2 linked regions of the Saccharomyces cerevisiae S288C genome follow. The gene in region 2 interacts genetically with the main gene of each other region. Each region holds a gene or a part of one and is shown on either strand. Other genes may lie near its edges.

Evidence for each region.
Region 1: mutations in DUR12 (region 2) and PSP2 together harm fitness more than expected from each alone (negative genetic interaction), as found in Saccharomyces cerevisiae (one large-scale study listed by BioGRID).

What each region holds. Positions count from the first base shown.
Region 1 is NC_001145.3:234,683-239,368, reverse strand, and holds PSP2 (Psp2p), read right to left. Parts: upstream 2,782-4,686; coding exon 2,778-2,781; intron 2,416-2,777; coding exon 638-2,415; downstream 1-637. Other genes in the region: YML018C (uncharacterized protein), read left to right, coding at 3,417-4,598. UniProt on the Saccharomyces cerevisiae protein: DNA polymerase alpha mutation suppressor. Suppressor of group II intron splicing defects of a mutation in MRS2. May play a role in mitochondrial mRNA splicing.
Region 2 is NC_001134.8:636,063-644,313, forward strand, and holds DUR12 (bifunctional urea carboxylase/allophanate hydrolase), read right to left. Parts: upstream 6,149-8,251; coding exon 641-6,148; downstream 1-640. Other genes in the region: FTH1 (Fth1p), read left to right, coding at 1-481; YBR209W (uncharacterized protein), read left to right, coding at 6,521-6,838. UniProt on the Saccharomyces cerevisiae protein: Hydrolysis of urea to ammonia and CO(2).

The sequences.
Region 1 (4,686 bases), on a different chromosome or scaffold from region 2:
TATATATATATATATGAAAGACAGGAAATAGAAGTTCCCTATCTTTTTCTTAATGACATTAAAAAACTTCCTTTCATCGCCTACTGCCTTCGCGTGTGTATTGAATGCTCATTCGCTCTATACAATCTAGAACTCTCCGAAATTTCGTTCTACTTTGCTTTCGCTATATTAAGCTGTTTATATAAATTACGTAATGGTATATAGTCATATAGCTAAATTCAATGGTTCGTTTCTATAGATTGGTTCTCCTTAATTTTAATTTTTTATTGCGTATAACGTGAGAGATTATTTTCAACCCCCCCAATACTTACGAAACTTCATAAAACTTCTTTAAGAAATAAGGGCCTATAAAAATTGTGAACTAATCAAGAGAAAATATATAATCAAAATTGATTAATCAGAAAGACGAATTTTTTTTAAAAAAAAAATTCAAAACAACTGAAGGGGAAATGGACAAAAAGCAGCATAAGTAGTAAAAAGTGGAAACAAAATAAGGTCAAAAAAATCTGAGAGGAAAAGGAACGCTATATTACATTACTCAGAACTGCGTAACCGACTAGAACAAAAAAAGGAAATAGAGGAAAAAAAAAAAAAAAAAAAAAAAAGAGAAAAGAAAATTAATGGGTCAGTACATGACTCATAAAGGCATGTCTGTTGTTCTGTTATTGTAGTTGGAGTAGTTACCGCTGCTTCCACGTCCACCACGACTACCTCGATTGTTATATGCGCCTCTGCCAAATCCCCTTCCTCTGCCAAATCCTCTTCCTCTCGAACCTCCATTCATACCGCTGCTGTTATAGTTACCGCGTCCATTGTTCCTTATAGAATCATTATTACCTTGGCCAAGGAACCCACTTGCTGGTTTGAAAATGGAATATTGTTGTGTATTGGATGTTGAGTTCGTGAAATCATTCTTTTTATTTCCTGAGGCATCTAAAGATGAATCCGAGGTTAACCCTTCTTCATTGTTTTGTCGATCATGATATCTTGAACCGTTATTATTATTACTACTACTATTATTATTATTATTATTATTATCATTAGTGTTGTTGTTGTTGTTGTTGTATGAGCTGCCACCACGATATCCGCCGCGATTACCACGATTGTTATGCCCACCTTTATAACTGCTGCCATTGGGGCCTCCACGATATCTATTACTCCCTCTAAAATTGCCATTATTGTTATTATGGTTTCCGTTATATTTGGTTCTGCTCATACTATGTTCCCTTTCCACATTCTTGAAAGTGAACTGTTTATCAACATCGGTTTCTGAACCTTTATCTTTATCATTTGAGACATCTAATTGAGCTTTATCGTCGCCACCTTTCTCAAAGCCTTGTTCATCGCCACCTTTGAACTCGTCCGATTTATCGGGCTTAGATTGTAGTTCAAGAGCTGGTGAGTCAAGCTTGCTTAATGGAGTTCCTTTCTTGGAAGTTTCATTGACCACAGATCTCTCAACTACTTCAGAGTAACTTAAAGGTTTGGGAGTTGGGGTTGCAGAATGTGATTCCTCCTCTGTAGGTGTCTGCTTTTTCAAGATTGTGATCTTGCTGCCTGTTGCAGTGGTTGCCATAGAATCACTACTAGGGATTAATGATGCCCTCAGGGTTGTTGTATCTTCCACGTGTAAATTTTCCATTTTTTCTTCAATGTCCAAAATCTTCGATTGCGTATCAACCGGTTTAGCACTTCCAAAAGGATTGGATTTTGACCGCTGAGTCTTAGTAATGAATGGTTTGCCAGCATCGTCTTTAGGGTCTGTTAATAATTTCACCTTCGTGCTGTAATCCTTAAAATCTTCGAATTCTGCGGGCGCTGTTGTAATGTGGTAAATTTCCTTCAAAGGAGTGGTCCAATAGTTCAAAATTTTGTCCATATCACGGGATGTATATAACTCGACAAATGCTACCTTCGAGTCACGTTTGAAATTTTGATCAAAGATTGACCCCGATTTCAAAGTAGAAATACTTGGATTTTTATTTATCTCCCAAAACAGTTTGAACTTAATAAACTTGGTAAACTTTGCTTGAAAAAGATCTTCAATGTCAAAGTTGGAAAATCTCGGTGGTAAATCAGAAAACTTCACAATATAAGGAGGACCTTGCTGATGCTGCAGCGGGTGGTGATGATTTGCAAAGTCCCCCATGCTACCACCACCAAAAGGCCCTGCATTAGAAAAACGTGATCTGTTCATGGGTCCATGACCACCGTGTGGGTGCTGTTGGTGACCATCACGTTGATGTTCGCCTGCCTTGGTTTGTTTCAAGATGTCAATATTCGTAGTATTGCTTATAGCATCCAAATTAATATCTTCCTCATCCCATACTGACTCGCCTAAAGTGTCGTTCCCTAGAAATTCTTCTAGGGACATTTTCTTCGTAGTGCCATTATTATTAGATGTATTATTTGTTCCTGAATAGAAACATATGTAGACAATTCCGTGACTTTCTCTTCTTTGCGGAAAACCAAGCTGATTAGAGAAAGCAAAAACATTGCAAGACCATGTCTAATCAGCTTGATTTTTAGAGAAACGATAAAAAAGAAGAAAAGAGGCCAAGAGAGAGCATTGTTCAATTGTTAGTGGCTATTTAAACTTGATCTATTTTCTTAAAAATCCACATGAATATTATATCCTCTTTCATGCAATAATTCCTACGTATGACTGAAACAGAAGAAAATAGTAAACATAAAATACTAAAACAAAAAAAAAAAAGGAAACAAAAGAGGACCGTTATGGATCAAAAGGGGTTAATGAGAAAAACCGAGGCACATACCCATTTCTTCCCGTTCCAGCACTCTATGTGATTAAGATCGAGTGAGCAAACGTGTTTTTCTAGGATGATTTCTTGACCAATTCTTTGTGGAGATAAGCTTTAAAGTCTGAAGAACGTATCTCTGTAGTTCTTCTGTCTCATTTAAAATAACCCAAAATTTCCGAAATTTCAGTGCAGCTCAACCCTAAATTAGACCTAATTGAAATCAGTAGGGTTAGCTCGTATTTGAAATATTACAAAACAAGTCCTATAAAACTCTAATCTTAACCCTTATGTTAGATTTTCAGCACGTGATTTTGCATCTTTTTTAGTTTTGCTTAAAAAATTTTGACCTCTACCTTTTCTCTCTCTGTTTAATCAGGTAATAAAAAGTTCAGCCAAAAAGTGTGGTTGTGAAATTTTATTCTGGCGATGCGCAATCGGAGTCTTTTCTATTTCTTGCAACTCGCAGAAGAAAAGGTATTTTACTACATAAATTGTATATATTCCTTCTCAGGATCAGCAACATAAGATATTGGCTTTGATATTATATTGCATCTTATTGCATTGTGTGTTGTGGTTAAGACAAATAAATAAAGGAAGTTTCTTCTTTTTTTTCCTTCCTTTTTTTCCTCTCTCAGATAAAAGTTCAACAGAGCCATGGTGTCGAAGGATCAAACGTCCTTTAATAAGAGGTGGACCTTGGGTCTTCTGATGTTGGGTCTAGTCATTATTTTGTGGGTTTTATCGTCCTTCCTGATAAATTTGATCTTCGAGGATGACTCGTATAGAAAACCATTCTTTATCACGTACACCAATACTGCCGCCTTTATCTTTTATCTTTTTCCAACTGCAAAGGCCGTTGTGGTGAATTACAAGGACACAGGCCGTGCAAACGTTCACCGCGAACTAATTATGGAGGAAGAAGGTACTGGTAGTGATAGCAATCGCTCGGTTGATATGACTAGCCCACTGCTTACAAACCTTGAAGCAGGCACGCATGCCAACCAAAAGAAGAGGCTAACGTTATATGAAACAATCAAGTTAAGTGCTGAGTTCTGCATACTTTGGTTCACAGCTAACCTTGTGACCAATGCCTCGCTGGCATTCACATCGGTGGCATCGCAGACAATCCTCTCCACTACTTCTTCCTTTTTCACCTTGTTCATAGGTGCTATTTGTCATGTTGAATCGTTGAGCAAGTCCAAAGTACTCGGGTCGTTCATTTCCTTTGTAGGCATAATCATGGTCACCAAATCAGATTCTCATCAGCGCTACCAACGCCATATCGCGGACGTTAGTGGTGATGATAACGATGCCGTGCAAGTTCTGATAGGCAACTTGTTGGCACTTGCAGGTGCTGTACTTTACGGTGTCTACAGTACTTTATTGAAGAGAGAAGTCGGAGATGAGACTCGTGTTAACATGAAGATTTTTTTTGGCTTTGTTGGTCTCTTTAATTTACTTTTTCTATGGCCATCACTGATTGTATTGGACTTTTTTGGCTGGGAACCATTCTCTCTGCCCAAAGATCCTAAAGTTGTGGTAATAATCTTCGTCAATTGTCTCATCACATTTGTTAGCGACTTTTGTTGGGCAAAGGCTATGTTACTAACGAGTCCTTTAACCGTCACCGTAGGATTGAGCATAACGATACCCCTAGCAATGTTTGGTGATGTAATCTTTAAGCACAAAACCATGTCTGCGCTCTATTTATTTGGTGCTACCCTCATCTTAGGCTCATTTTTCATCATTAACAAAAGCTCTGAGGAGGAACATTTTGAGAACTCAATAACGGCTAGCAATTACGAATCAGTGGAGGTGCCAGCAGCAAACAACTGATCTTAAAAAAAAAAAAAATAGAAATAATAAAAAAAACTATTAGCATCTAAATTTCAAAGTCAGAAGAAATTTTTCCCTATATAGAATG
Region 2 (8,251 bases):
TGGTTTGTTTTCCAAAGGTGTATGGCAACTTGAATTGCAAGACTACGTCAACAAATGTAACGGTCAAGACATGAGTGAAGTAGGAAATGGACCCGGTTCGTACGACATATCTCGTTCTGTTTGGCATGTTAATTGTTGCAATGGTGAAAAAGATGGAGGTTGGATGATTTTTACTGCCATTTTTGGTTGGACGAATAGTGCTACCGTCGGCTCTGTAATTAGCTACAACGCCTACTGGTTGGTATTAATATGCGCTTTGAAACTGCTAATGATAGAAGAAAAATACGGATATATCCCATATCTACCTATTAGCTGGCAAAAGAAACGTATTATGAAAAGATTAAGCATTGCCAAGGCATCGCTCGATCTCAAACATCATACTTCTGAACTCAACTCTAGCACATCAGAGCCAGACAGTCAAAGACGGTCCAAAGATAGTTCTGTGCCCCTAATAATTGATAGCAGTGGTTCAGCAAATTGAGAACATAACAAACACACGTAATAATTTTAAGCTTCTTTTCATACATTTTACAGTAAATACTATGTACATATATATTCGTCATTAAAAATAGCTAGAAAAAGGCATGCTATAAAGACTAAATGAGTGCTCCTTTGATTTTAGATGCCAACAAAAGGTAATTCATGCCAATGTCTCTATGACGGCCACTATGTCACCAGAATCAACCATATCACCATTGCCATGGCAAATCTTGATAATCTTACCCGATTTAGGAGCGGATATAATCATTTCCGCTTTCATGGCTTCAATAATTAGTAGCCCTTGACCTGCTTCAATAACATCTCCAACAGATGCTATGGATTTCCAAAAACGCCCAGAATACTCAGAATATACAATTTCTGCACCTTCTGGGAAGTCTTCTTCCTCGTCAGGTTTGACTGTGACACTTTCTTTTAGTTCAGAGTTTGCATTTTGAATCAATTTGGCAAATTCCTCTGCTCTTTCACCAAGCTGGCCCTCCTGGAATGCTGTGATGGAATCTTTGTTTGCGTTGATCCATCTCAAGTATTCTTGATGATCAAAAACACTCTTTTCGATATTGACTTTATAAACACCATTATCACAATCTTCAGTCATTTTATCCAAATCTTCTTCAGAAACTGGGTAAAATTCGACTTGGTCAAATGGGTTCATCAACCACGGAACCTCAGAAGATGCGGCCAGACATAGTTTGTCCCAAATTGGTATTGTTCTACCCACTAATTGGTACCCACCAGGACTGTTAGCAGCATATATGCACATATACATACCGCCAATACCGACTGCACCTCTTTCTGTATATGTTCTACTTGGGTTGTACTTGCTTCCCAAAAATCTGTGACGAGGATCTAATGGAACAGCACAAGGCGACCCTAGGAAGACATCACCTAAACCTAAAACCATAAATCTGGCAGAATACAACATATCATAAACTTCATTCCTTGAAATTCCATTTACATTGGCAATGAAATCAACGTTATTTGGCAACCATGGAGCAGACGAACGAATTGTTTCTTGATACCTTTGAACACATGCCAAAGTCTTCGAGTCTTCGAAAGCCATCGGTAATCTTATTATATTAGAAGTTATCTTCCAATTTTCATCAAACTGGATTTCTGTTTCATATGCCACCAATACTTTAAGCAATTCTTTTTGAGTGACTTTGTAACCATCAAATTCTATCAATACAGATCTAACACCTTGGGACATTTCAACAATACCAATAGTCTTATTCTTTTTCACAAGGGAGATCAGGCATTCAATTCTATAGGAAATATTAAAATTCATTTCATTATCACCGTATTCCACCAAAACATAACGATCACCTGCTTGTCTGTATACAACCTTTGGTGAAAGCTCATTCACTTTTTCCATTTGTGCAAGAATAGGCGTTTCGAATGATGGTAAAATTGAAACAGAGTCTAAGCGCCTTAACTTAGTACCATCCAATGATTTAATTGCAACATCCTGAGATTCCTTTAAGGATCTCGAGCTTTCGTAAGAAAGTGGCACAAACTGAATGGAATCACCGGGTTTAACCTGTCCAACCTTCCACAGTTCTGCTTCTGGGACAACAGCTTGACACACAAAACCACCTAAGGAAGGACCATCGCAAGTAATAATAACTGGCTCATCACCCGTGAAATTAATTGCACCCAGAGAATAAACGTAATCGTGAGTGTTTGAAGGATGCATACCACCTTCACCACCATTACTTCTTGCCCACTTAGGTTTAGGTCCAATCAAACGGACACCAAATCTATTGGAGTTGTAATGAACCTTCCACTTCTCACTGAAAAATTCTTCGATGGACTCAGGTTTAAAAAAATCTGGAGACCCATGGGGACCACATGTTACACCAATTCTCCATTCCTTAGTTTCGGAAATTTGAGGAATTAATGATTGAGGAATATTCTGTGGAAGGCACTCAACTGATTTATTTTCTTCATTGCTTGGTAAGAATAGTACGTCTCCAAGTTTTAGCACCCTTCCATTGTATCCACCGACATTTCCTAGAGTGAAAGTAGAATAAGAGCCCAAGTATTTAGGCACATCAATGCCACCCCTGATACCTAAGTATGCTCTACAGCCGCTTGTCAACTTGCCAATGGATAAAGTAGATCCCCTCTTAACTTCGACCGGTTTGTGTTGGGGAATTTCTTGGCCGTCTAATGTACATAGAGCGGTACCACCAGTAATGGCAATGACAGTTTCACAATGGAAAACGATGGATGGACCAGTCAACGTTACTTCAATGGCAGGAGTCCTGTAGTCATTACCAACAATTCTGTTCGCCAATCTAAACGAATATGCGTCCATTGGACCAGAGGGCGGAACACCAATTCTCCAGTACCCAACTCTACCGGGGTAATCCTGAATACTAGTGTGTGCACCGGGCAAAGTAATTTCGATGGCGGTAGGCTCATATTGATAAGAGTTCAAAATGTTTGTAGAAACTTTTGCTTTAGCAAAGAAATCACTGGTAATGATAGACTTCAGGTAGTCAATGTTAGTAATACATCCGTAAACTTTTGTTTCTTCTAACGCTTGATTTAACTTGGAAATTGCATCATCACGGTCTTTCCCATGAACGATAATTTTGGCCAATGTTGGATCATATTCGGGAGAAATATTAGTACCTTTCTTAACCCAAGTATCCACTCTTGCCCAATCAGGAAATTTCACATCGACAAGTAAACCTGGAGAAGGTCTGAAATTTTTCAATGGATTTTCAGCATATAAACGTGCCTCCATTGAAACCCCATTGACTTCTACCTTTGTAGAATCAAAATCAGGTGCATCATTAGCGGCAATCCTGATCATCCACTCGACCAAGTCTAACCCTGTAACCATTTCTGTTATTGGATGTTCAACTTGTAATCTTGTATTAACTTCTAAAAAGTAAAACTCGTCCTTTTTCTCATCGTAAATAAATTCAACCGTACCAGCACACTTGTAATTCAATAAAGATCCCAAACTTTCAGCTGCCTTTCTTAACGCCAACCTCGTCTTTTCTGGCAAATTTGGTGCAGGAGTTTCTTCGATAACTTTTTGGTTACGACGCTGTAAAGAACAATCACGTTCGCCCAAAGCAATGGCCTTACCAAAACCATCTCCCATAAGTTGGACTTCAACATGCCTGGCATTTTCGATAAACCGTTCCAGAAATACACCAGCGTCACCGAAAAATGTTTCACCTTGATGTTTCACAGTCTCAAAAATATGCTCGATGTCCTCTTCAGAATCGACTTTCTGCAAACCAATACCACCGCCACCAGCAGTTGACTTCACCATAACTGGGTATTCCAATTCCGCTGCGACTTTCTTAGCCTCTTCAACTGATGTGATAAGCAAAGAGCCTGGCACTAGAGGAACGCCAGCCTTCTGTGCAATCTGTCTAGCAGAATGTTTTAACCCTAAACCTCTGATAATATCTCCCGAAGGACCAACAAAGGTAATGCCAGCACTGGTGCACGCATCAGAAAAATCCGCATTTTCCGACAAGAAACCATAACCAGGAATAATGGCCTGTGCATTAGTTTGCTTAGCGGCATCTATGATCTTATTCATGTCTAAATAAGTTTGGGCTGCGGTTGTGCCATGAAGGGGTACAGAAACATCTGCATCAGTAACGTGTTGAGAATATTTATCAGGGTCGGAATAAACTGCAACTGATCTAATACCCAATTTTTTTAATGTCTTGATAATACGAACGGCAATTTCACCTCTATTGGCAATTAACACGGTATCAAATAACTTCTTCTTTTGGGACTCTTTTTTCTTCAACATTTCAAAATATGCTCTAAATCCACCATACTTTGTGATATCAACTGTACCTTTGGCTTTGTAACCAGATTCTTCACAAATAAAGGATTTGATCCATTCACCAGATTCTAACTCCACTGAACCTATTCCTAATGGTTCAGGAACCATGGAAATAAAAGCACCGAACAGTTCTTTTGGAACACTGTACACTTCTAATTCGATTTGAGAGCCATTGCTATCTTGAACTCTTCTCAAACCAGGTTTTAAAACTGGTCCATTTTTGGGCAAAGCAAAAAGCTGGTAAGCTTTTGATGTTTTTGTTGTACATAAATATGTTGCATTGACCTTTTCCAATTGCCAATGTAGAGGCAGACCCTTAAGATGTGCACCGACAACAGCCAATTTTATGGACGTAGATGGGTCATAGTCTGGTCCCACTAATTGATCGTTTGCTGGCTTTACTGAAGAAGAGGTAAAAGTACCGTATGTTCTGGAACCGTTGGGGAATATATTTTGGAAATAGCGGTTAGCCAACTCTAATAGTGCGTAATCTGTGAATTTTTTACCGATTAAAGTAATACCATTTGGCAAACCATCGTCTCGGAACCCTGCGGGAACAGCAAGGGCTGCCAAATCTGCCAAGTTGACAAAATTAGTCCATGTGCCTTGTCTTGAATTGACTAGGACTGGTTCATCCGCAACTTGTTGCATAGTAGGATTTAAAGGACATGTGGGCACACACAATACATCGACTGATTCGAGAAGTCGTCTCACTTTTTGCAAGATGCCTTGTCTTTTGTATTCAAAACTGAAGCAGTCTACTGCACTGTATTTCTTGGCCCCTTCTATAATTGAAATAACAGTAGGGTCCAAAGATTCCTTTGGTGGTTTACTGTCCAAAAACGATTGAATAGCTTGATAACGCTCGGCCACCCAAGTACCTTCGTATAAACAGCGAGCTAACTCTAAAAGAGGCTCAAAATCAATTTCTATGACGTTAGCGCCCGTTCTTGATAGATTTTCGACAGCATTGGAAAACAGTACAGGATTCTTGGTTTCACCATACCATGGGATATTTTTAGGAATAGCAATCGTTACATTGCTTGAAAATTTTTTCAAAGGGTTGGAAACATAGGGTCTAGAATATTCATCATTATCAGGATCTGGCTGGCACATGATGCGGAAGCAGCGTTCAGCATCACTTAGGTTTAATGCAAAGATGGAGACGCAGTCTAAAGATTTACAAGCGGGAACTACACCTTGACAGGAAAAGACGCCCTTTGTTGGCTTTAGGCCAATCAGGTTGTTCAAGGCGGCTGGGACTCTACCAGAACCTGCTGTATCAGTACCCAATGCAATTGGTACGATACCTCTGGCGACCACCGATGCTGACCCAGCGGAGGAACCACCAGATACATGCTCTTTGCTAAAAGCGCAAGGTGTTTTCCCATATGGAGACCGTGTGCCGACTAATCCTGTGGCAAATTGGTCCAAGTTTGTCTTACCCACGATTATCGCACCTGCATTTCTTAGTAGTTCTACTACTTTAGAGTCTTTGGAAGGCTCATATGCAAAGGATGGACATGCAGCGGTGGTGGGTAGACCTCTAACGTCGATGTTGTCCTTAACAGCAATAGGGACACCGTAGAGAGGTAGAGTTTCTTTATTTTCTCTGCTCTTTAAAATTTGGAATTGGTGCAGTAAATTTTCCTTTGAAATTAGCGATATCCACGCATTATCGACTGGCGCAACATTTTGAGAGTCTAGTAGTGATTCAAGAAGCCTTAGTGAAGCCTGGGAGCTTGATGACTTGTGGAAATCAATCCAGTCTTGGATTGACCAACCTAACGATATTTCAGCAGTTGTATCGGAACTAACTGTCATTTTTTAATCAAAACTGAAATTTATTGTGACTATAAAAAAGATATTTCTATTTTTTATCTTTTATATTAATGTAAATTGAAATTTGGTGTATATCAGCTGCTCCACTGATATATTAATATAAGCTTATAAAAACTTGAGCCTATATGATCCTAGAAAAAAAAAGCTTAGCTAAGAGAGCCTGATATTCAGAAGTGAGCGAGTATACAAATCTCACACCTCATCTGCTCTAGTGTTTAAATACAAACATTCAATTTCCAACAACGTCTAACAAAGCTCGATTCAAATTAAGAAGCAGGAAAAAGCAAAACATCTGCGTGTCTTATCTCAATGGCTTGCGCTAACTGCGAACAGAGTGCCCTATGAAATAGGGGAATGAACGCATATTGGTTTCATTATAGAGCGTCAATCAAGAAAGAGGCACCAAACTATAAACGCACATTTCTCGGTAGGGCTAGGAACGCTTTCCTGCTTATCTTATCTGAAGCTTATTTATTGTTCGTTTTTTTATCTTATCTGATAAGGGGAAAAAGCCTGGAAAAGCGCGTAAATGATGAGGCGAAATGCAGCCAAAGATGCGTGCCGTTGCAGTTAGCTAACAACCTGGCGTTCGGCGATCGCCATAAGAGATCTGCCAATTTTAAAAAGGGTATTGCCAATACACATAGTAGCCTTATCTGCAGCAAGCCATAGGACTAATGTGTTCGACGTCGTTGGGGAAAAAAAGCAAAGAACATGTTGCCTTTGAGGAGACTGCAGCAAGAAAAAAAGTTCAATAAGGATTGCAAAAAAAAAAAGAAGCTCGCACTCAGGATCGAACTAAGGACCAACAGATTTGCAATCTGCTGCGCTACCACTGCGCCATACGAGCTTTCTATTACATGTGGGAAGACTAATATAGATAGTATAGTCAATTATACGAAGTAGTGCCAGCCCCACATATAAGAGAACGGTGGAATATTTGAACTGTATGCAAAGAAGTTTCAGCGGGGACCTTTATTTTAGAAAAAGCGAATAAATGTCGCTCATTTGTTTAAACGGTATTTGTTGGACTGAGGGTTGCTTCCATACGGAAATGCTAACGAAGAGGATGTGCTGAATTTTGCTATGTTTGGAATGGGCTCCTCCATCTGGGAATGATAATCATTTTTATTATTGTGTGTTCAAATACACTTACACATCTGTTTTTTCGTGGTAAGGAATCCGAGAATCACATGAGGTTTGGGATAGTTGCTGGCAATCAATGAATGACATCAGATAAAACGAAAGGAGAAATAATATGTTGATAATTAGAGGTTAAAAATTAGTATTAATGAAGAAATAATTACTGATCTTCTTATACTAAATAAGAGAGGTATATAAAACACACGCCGATTGGTCATATTAATCATGACCAATATAATAGTGATTCCGGTAGTTACTATACATTGATGTGACGACTCATATTCCTCATATATGTACCTACCATAACATGTTCAACTAATAGGTCTTTAACACAGCTTCAGTATTGTCTGAGCTTCTCGTTTAACATTCCTTCTGCAATAGGCGCAATCACACTTAAACGTATACGAGTTGTACATTAATATACGATGTAAGCATTGAATTGTTACCATAGCAACTCATGTCACTATTAATTACTCTCGTTCCAACATAATATTATTATGGAGTAATATCTATTCCCTTTCGTGGATTCCAAGATTCTCGAGGTATATTTCCAGTATATTTTGTATACCTGATATTATAGCCTTTAGCAACAACGAAATCAACATTTATCTCAAATTTCACCTGTTTCTCATTTTTAAGCGCCTAGCCCATCTAATCATCTTAACTATTCATCAGGGAAAATTAATATACATTGTGCTCTTAATGTTTCGAAAAATAATCAAAATCAATAGAAATAGCGTTTTGCTACTAACAAAGCCCTTTGATCCAAAGTTGGCTTCTGAGAACTTAACATTTCAGTAGAACAAGCCTCAAGCTTAAATGAAGAATGGCAAAGTAAATGAGACCTCTCTCTCCATATTTTGCTCAGAGCCTGTTAAGGAAAACAACACCGCACATTAGTGTGAAAAACTTTCCCCGCAAGCTGTTGGAAGATGAATCATT